2 linked regions of the Danio rerio genome follow. The protein of the gene in region 1 interacts with the protein of each later gene in a biochemical or structural test. Links are inferred from orthologs where the notes say so. Each region holds a gene or a part of one and is shown in the gene's direction. Other genes may lie near its edges.

The links. The genes of interacting proteins can lie anywhere in the genome.
Region 2: the proteins of bmpr2a (region 1) and gdf5 form a complex in vitro, tested with the Homo sapiens proteins (2 studies listed by BioGRID and IntAct, with this or other methods). The link is inferred for Danio rerio from reciprocal best matches to the Homo sapiens genes BMPR2 and GDF5.

The regions. Positions count from the first base shown.
Region 1 is NC_133181.1:13,808,033-13,812,392, reverse strand, and holds the start of bmpr2a (bone morphogenetic protein receptor type-2a), read left to right. Parts: upstream 1-1,469; 5' UTR 1,470-2,132; coding exon 2,133-2,208; intron 2,209-4,360. UniProt on the Homo sapiens protein: On ligand binding, forms a receptor complex consisting of two type II and two type I transmembrane serine/threonine kinases.
Region 2 is NC_133181.1:55,394,137-55,398,298, reverse strand, and holds the start of gdf5 (growth/differentiation factor 5), read left to right. Parts: upstream 1-1,297; 5' UTR 1,298-1,387; intron 1,388-4,162. UniProt on the Homo sapiens protein: Growth factor involved in bone and cartilage formation. During cartilage development regulates differentiation of chondrogenic tissue through two pathways.

The DNA.
Region 1 (4,360 bases):
CATATTACATTCTGTGTGGGCTTTGCATGATGTCGTCATATTGGCGTGGGTTTCCTCTGCGTGCTCCGGTTTCCCCCACAAGTCCAAAAACATGTGCTGTTGGTGCATTGGGTAAGATAAATTGTCTGTTGTGTATCAGTGTATGAGTGTGAATGAGTGTGTATGGATGTTTCCCAGTGATGTGTTTCCACTGCGTAAAACATGCTGGCCCCGGATTATAGAGGGACTAAGCTGAAAAAAGGAATAAATGAATGAGTGAATACATTATATTTTTTATATAATTATTTAAATATTTAATTGCATTATATTAAAAAAAATCTGACAATGTTAAAAGTTTATTTACGTTAGGTCCGAAAGACTAGCCCATTGTTCTTCAACAAAATCTTATATTAATAGCAAAATAAATATGTACAAATGTATTTGTGAAAAATATTTATCTATAGGTTTTGATATGAAATATAGGCTACAAGACATATAGCCTGTTTGTAAATGTTTTTGTAATTTAAAAAAAATTCAACTTTAAGAAATACACAAATGTGTTTTTTTTCTTCCGGTGGTGGGTTGCAGCTGGAAGGGCATCCGTTGCATAAAAAATGTGCTGGATAAGTTGGCGGTTCATTCCACTGTGGTGGCCCCAGATTAATAAAGGGACTGAGTCAAAAAGAAAATGAATATATATATATATATATATATATATATATATATATATATATATATATATATATATATATATATATATATAATTAAATTATAATTAAAATACATATAAAATATAGGCTATATTTCTTATTTAAATATGCAAATATTTAGATCTCTTTTATACAAGAGCTATATACAAGGCTAAATATAAAATTAAACAATTACTATAAAATACAAAATATAATCTAATAAAATAGTATAAAACAAATATTATACTCTCTTATAGTATATGTATGAACATTGTTAGTAAAATTGTGTAAAATGAACTATGTAAATTAAAGTATTATACTCAGTTTTCTAAACACACAAATAATACATATAAAATTGAATATAAGAAATATTAAATAAAATACAAAGTTTAAAATGTTGAAATGTAATCAAATTCTAAATATAACAAAATAATATATATAAAACAAACATGTATTTATGTTTGTATATAAAATGTAATTAATTGAATAATGACAGATAACTAGATTATACAGTGGGAAAATAGATAATATATTTTATATAGATTATAATAATATAATATATTTTATATAGAATAAATTGTAAATCAGTTATCAGATATTTTTTTCTAAATGGAAGTGTTTCACGTCTGCTCTGATAGCAGTGTTTTTAAATCATCCTCGGTGTTTTTCTTCAGCGTCTCCTTATGTTGTCATTCCATCAGTCTGCCGCATGAGGACGCTTCGCCTCTTTTCTTTTATAAATCGGCCCCCACATCGAACAATCGGATCCCGGAGACAATCTGAAGAAGACGAGGCGTTTCCAGTCGCTGTCTGGTCTGCTGTGCCTTCCTGACCGTCTCACGTCGCCCTTCTCCATGATCGGAATACGAAAGGAAAACCGCTAAACGAACAATTTCCCAGCTCGGTGGATCATGGAAACGGAGAAAAACCCTGAAACGAAGATCAAAAGATAACGTAAGGCGAGGAATATGACGACAAATGGACATATTTTTAACAGTCGGCGATCTCGAAGCGGATGTTTCCCTCTTCAGAAACTGTGTGTTACCATCCAGGAGGCTCGCGGAGTCGGGATGTCCCATATAACTGCGCTAAACTCCGATTAGGCAAATGTATGGGACTCGTGCTCTGGAACAAAGGGGAAAACAAAGTTTGACGTGATTTGTTAATTAGCTTCGTTACTACAGACACAGACTGCCAGTAGTCAGATTTCACACTCATCAGCTTACATTTTATGGGGGAAAAAACTAAACAAAACAATGAAGCTTACCGCAAGAAGATAGTTTTCATACTATTTTATAGCCATTCTGAAAGGATGAACATCAGCTTTTGAAAAATATATATGATGCTGGAGTCTCCAAAGCACACATCTTCTTGCCTGGTTGGACTCTGAAACCTGGACAGCTGTATAATTAATTGAGGATAAAGCCGAATATACTGTATTTGAAGAAAAAGGAGAGAAAAAACATGGCAGTTGAAGGCCGAATAACAATTCTTGACGTTGGACTGATTGCCATGGTGGTTCTTCTGGGTCCTGTGGCTGGTAAGTAGTAGTTAACAGATAGTAGCAATAGAAAAAATGACAGCAAATATTATAGAATTACAGTAGAATTGCTGTCCACACCCTGGTTTTCCAAATCCCTCCACATCCTCTCAAAGTCAAGGCGTAATTAATTGTATGTTACAGTGTGTGTGTGTGTGTGTGTGTGTGTGTGTGCGCGCGTCCTGTCAGTGTTGTGGTGAATTCACTGCCACCCACATCCATCAGGAACTCTTCATTTCCTGAGAGTGAGTGCTTGTGTATTTGTGGATAAAAGTAACAAAGCGAGGTGTGAGAGTCAGTAAAACCACACTTTTTATGTTGTTGTGTGTGGATGTATGTGTCTACACACACACAATCACACACACATTAAGTGTAAATGTGGATTTATGTTTTTTTCCCTATTTATTTTAACCAAAACAGTATTTTTTGTTGACCTATTGTCATTTTATTTTATTTATTATATATATTTTTTTACAAATAAATGCTGTAATAATCGATTTAGTAATATCTAATTGAAAATGTGGAAATTATAAATACACATTAACAGTAGCTTACATAATTCATTTCATTTTCTTGTGGGCTTAGTCCCTTTATTATTAATCCGGTGTTGCCACAGCGGAATGAACGTTAACTTATCCAGCAAGTTTTTACGCAGCGGATGCCCTTCCAGCCGCAACCCATCTCTGGAAAACATCCACACACACATTCACACACACACTCATACACTACAGACAATTTAGCCTACCCAATTCCCCTGTACCGCATGTCTTTGGACTGTGGGTGAAACTGGAGCACCTGGAGGAAACCCACACTAACGCAGGGAGAACATGCAAACTCCACACAGAAAAGCCAACTGAGCCGAGGCTCGAACCAGCGACCCAGCGACCTTCTTGCTGTGAGGCAACAGCACTACATACTGCGCCACTGCTTCGCTGTATAAAAAATTAAATTAAATTAAAATATAAGCACAGATAATAAAGAAATAATCAGTGCTTTATGTTTTTTTGGAGGAAAATTACAGTATTGAGGTAAAGAAATTTAATTATAAAATCTAAAATGACACTTTATAGTCTTCATTTGAAATTATGAATACACATTAACAGTAGTTTATACAATAATACACATTAGCACTTTACAAGCATGTACATATTAATTTAAGAGCAAAAATAACTTTGATACAGTCTCTTCCAGGGCTGCTCAATATATCGTTTAAGCATCGATATCACAATATGTGTATCTGCAATAGTCACATTGCTTTATTAGATTATTTATTAAAGATTAAAATATAAATATGTCATTTTAATATGATTGTATAAAATATTTAAACAATGATGATTGTGTTATTTTGTTCGATTGTTAATTTTTGTATTTGAATACTGTTAAATAAGCATAAAACATTGTTTATTTCACTTTTATTTTTGCTCCGTAGTATTTATATGTGATGTTAATTTCTTCCAGTTAATGCAGATTACCCAAGTCGTACTCAAGAAATCTGTCCAAATAGAGCTATTCAAATCATCTGGTGAAATTATACTCATATCGTGGCAAAACAAACTAATGCAATGTAAGATTTTTTTAAATTGTGCTGCTGTAATCTCTTTATTGTTTTTATTACAGAGCTGTAGTGCCCTGCATAAATGAATCCATTTAAAAGAAATGTATTTATCTGTGAATTGTTATCCAATTTAACAGCAAAAATCAGTACAAGGCACTCAAAAAATGTGGAAAATATCAAAAAGTCTTTATTCACATGGCTAAAGCTTAAAAACTAAACAAAAAACAAAACAGGTTTTTAAGGATTAGCCATGTGAATAAAGGTTTTTAAAATATTTTTACCCAAAGAGCTCCATATTTGGCTTCAGTACTGACTTATTTAATGCATATGTGCACATGTAATATTGTATAGCTTCCTATTGAAAATATGAATTTAAAAGAGAGATTTGTGACGGGTGTACTTATATATGCTGAGCACTGTATGTCTCTCCTTGTGTGTGTGTGTTGGCTCTGGCACAAGCCCCTGAGCTGCAGTAAAGGGCTACTGAGCATCAAACAGATAAGATAAGAACTGACCCTGCTCATGGTTCATGTGCGGAGAATAAAGGCTAAACACTGATTAGCTGAAAAGACAAGCATGAAACTTAATTTTGCATTT
Region 2 (4,162 bases), about 42 Mb from region 1:
TCAGTGGTATCTGAAAGTTATTTAATGTATTTATAGAAGGCTGAGAAAAATTCTCTTTTTATTTCTCTTAAAAGGCAATGAAAAGAACTTATCCGTCACTATAAATGTAAAATTACTGAGCCTACACACAGGAGTTGCAGAAAAATGCTTATTTTAGAAGAAAAGTTGCTATATATAGCAATTATATATATATAGCTATTATATATAGCTATTATATCTATATAAATAAAACAAAATACATTTTTGTGTATTTATTTATTTTTTATTATTATTATGCTTTAAAAACATACATGACAATATAGTAAACACAACAATGCCAGGGCGATAGAAAGTAAATTATAGCATCAATACATAAAATTAAAAAAATAAAATAAAACAAACATAAAAACAAGAGTATTAATACTTAACTAAAATTCTTACAAATATGAATAAGCAGGACCTTAACATTAATCAAAAATATTGAAACTAGAACAAAGTTGGACAGTTTTAATGGCCTTTCCATTAGCACTATGCTGCAGTGCAAAAGTAATTTTTCAGTTTCTTATAAAACACAGTAAAACAGGTTTTTTGTTGGAAAATGTACACTTATGAATATAACACTTAATTAACAAAATAAATAGGTTAATAACAAAAGCTTCATTATTCAAATTATAATAATTACAATTGTTGGCGTTTCTGTGTGGAGTTTGCATGTTCTCCCTGCCTTCGCGTGGGTTTCCTCCCGGTGTTCCGGTTTCCCCCACAGTCCAAAGACATGTGGTACAGGTGAATTGGGTAGGCTAAATTGTCTGTAGTGTATGAGTGTGTGTGTGTGTGTGGATGTTTCCCAGAGATGGGTTGCGGCTGGAAGGGCATCCGCTGCGTAAAAAACTTGCTGGATAAGTTGGCAGTTCATTCCGCTGTGGCGACCCCAGATTAATAAAGGGACTAAGCCGACAAGAAAATGAATGATGAATGAATAATTAAAATGTGTGTGTTATGTGTGTAAGCTACATCAACATACATGTCTAAAAAATGACCTCATGCGTATGACAGGCGTTTTGCAGTGTTTTTCGTATCATTTTTGTGAAATCTCGTAAAATGGTGATCGTATTAACAATGTTGTCGTCATGCACGTCGAATGAGCAAATTAAAATACTTTTTTAGTGTAAATGTACCCTCAGAAATTACACAGAGACTACAATTGAAGTGACGTCATTGTGAAAGTAGCGGCCGGTAATGGCGTCCTCCTGTTGACTTCGAGCACACCTGAATCAAATCAACAGTTGGTTTATTCAGAGGATTTATCGTGTAAAATGGCTAACGAAGGAGGAGGAATAAAATGTTTTTCGATTCAGCAATGCACTTGAAGTTAAACCGTTGGAGGCCGAAAAAGCGCTGGATAAAGGTAGATTTTGTTAGTTTTGTGTATTGGTCAGATATAGGCCGTTTAACGTTAGTTCATTTAGGCAAAATACACACACAATTTTGTGATCGTGACGTAACACAAACATCAACCGATTAATAAAAATGTTTTAGTATATTAAATTACCATTAAATCATACTAGCATTTTCTCAATGAGCACAAGTGCTCGTGTTTAATGATTTTGATTAATTAACTTAGTGCTAAAATTTCATTCAGATTCAAGTCACTGTAGTTTATTAAACTTAAATTCTTATCACGTAAGTATATTATTAAAAAGAAATAAATGTAGCCTTAATAAGTAAAATGTTTATTTGTGCTTCATTAAACTCAGGAACACCTTTACCTTTTATAATAACTTAATAATTTAAAGGGATAGTCCACACAAAACTGAAAATTTGACATTCACTCACCCTTCGTCAATCACAAACCTGTTTTAGTTTTTTTTTCATCTGTTGAACTTAAAAGAAGAATATATATATATATATATATATATATATATATATATATATATATATATATATATATATATATATATATATATATACACCAAATATATTTTAAAAACTTGAAACCAGTAACCAATGACTTTCATAGTATTTGTTTTTACTAGTATGGAAGTCAATTAAAAGTCTCTAACATTCATCAAACTTTTTTCTAATATTCTTCAAAAAATCTTTGTGTTTGTGTTCAGCAGTAAAAATAATCTCATAACCATAACATATTTGAGCAATACCAGTGTTATGGATGTGACATTTGCAGTAAAAACTCAAAACACAAATTCACATAGAAAGTTTAAGTTAACATTATATTAAAACATCTGTTGATATTTTCCAAAGCTACTAACCACAGAGTTATAAGATTAGAAAAATATAAATCTTTAAACATATTAATATTTTAAATAAAAAACATAAACATGTGTTATTGATGTGACTAAAAAAGTCTGCGAGTTTGCAATATATAACATACTTTGTAGAAATTCTGTGAATTAAACTGCACAACCCCCCAAAAAATGCTAATTAACAGGAGAAGAGTTGGCTCACTGTAGAACAAACATGACAGATTTTATTTTATTTCATATTTTTGCATTTATGAGGAAGAATCTTCATTATGGATGTGGCATCTCTGCGTTATGGATGTGACCGATGTGAAGAGGCAGTGCATAGAAAAAGTCTCTCCAAATAGAGCCTTTCAAATCGCCTCAGGAAATTATATTCATATTACAATATACATTCACTGGCCACTTTATTAGGTACAATTGCACGTTAACGCAAACTTAGAATAAAAAAAATACTAAATTAAATTGATAGGCAACAATAACTCCAATAACCACTCATTACAACTGAGGTGTGCAGAAGAGAGGTGTGGTTGTCGCTGGGGCACTTCAGATCATTTTGGAAGGGCACTTTCTATCCAAAACTAAAAAGGGCATGTGCACTGTACAGGTTGAGCCCTATGTGTGCATGTGCCTGTTAAATGGTCAAACTTATAGCTTTCAAAAGCCTGTTTGGCCTAAATAACACTCAAAGGTCATCAGGTGTTTCAGCATGTTGGTTTGGTGTTGTGTTTTATTGAACCGTTAGTGACGGATGAACTCTGAATAGTGGGACAGTCCTTAATATGTAATCTAATTGACTCAGTGTTAAACTGGGAATTTCCACCCCTAGAGAAATGACTGTAAGTGCGTGTGTGTGTGTGTGTATCTGTGTGTGTGTGTTTTAGGCATGCTGATGCCTGTCTGCTTTCCTATCAAAACAAATGAGCATACCAGACCAGGATAATTAGTTTTCTTATTAGATTGAAGGATAAAAATAGAAAGTGTTTTGATTAAAGAGAGGGTTAATAAGGGTTATGCAGGAGACCTTGATCATTAACTGTTTTGTTTATCAAAAAGAAAAATATTGACAGGATTTTTAAAATCAGGTCCAGGCTTAACTTGTCACCAACAAACCTAATCTGCCAAACAGCAGCTCTGGAAAAATTATAATATACAGTAATATATGCATATTTGTAAGCTTAAATTATATTTTGTGCAAATAGATTAATATAAATTGCATTATTTATATATAGTTGAAGATTATTTTTAAATAATCCAGTGCTTAGCAAAAAGCGCAGGGGTTAGCACTGTTGCCTCACAGCAGGAAGGCCACTGGTTTGAGTCACGGCTAGGCCAGTTGGTATTTCTGTGTGAAGTTTGCATGTTCTCCCCATGTTGGTGTGAGTTTCCTCCGGATGCTCCAGTTTCCTCCACAGTCCAAGGACATGCACTATAGGTGAAATTGGATGAACTATTGTGGTTGTAATGTATGAGTGTATGGGTGTTTCCCAGTACTGGGTTGTGGCTGGAAGGGCATCTGCTATATAAAACACATGCTGAAATAGTCGTGGTTCATTCCGCTGTAGCAATCTCTGATGAAAAAAAAAAAGGGGACTAAACCGAAGGAAAATGAATGAATATCTTTTGTCTTTGCCATCATGGCAGTACATAATATCACTGTAAAACCCACTAAGTTAAGAACTCAAACCATTTGAGGAAGCCGATTGCAACAAATCGTTTGAGTTCAAAAACTAATTCTAAGGAGCACTGTGAACATTTAAGTAAATGAAGCAATTTTAGCAGTAAAACTCGATAAATGAAGAGAACTCAAACCTACTTTTTTTTTTTTTTTTTGCTGTACATTAACTAAAAAATAATTTAATTATATAAAGCACGGCCTTATAATTAATATAATATTAATTTAATTCACTTTTATTTGTATA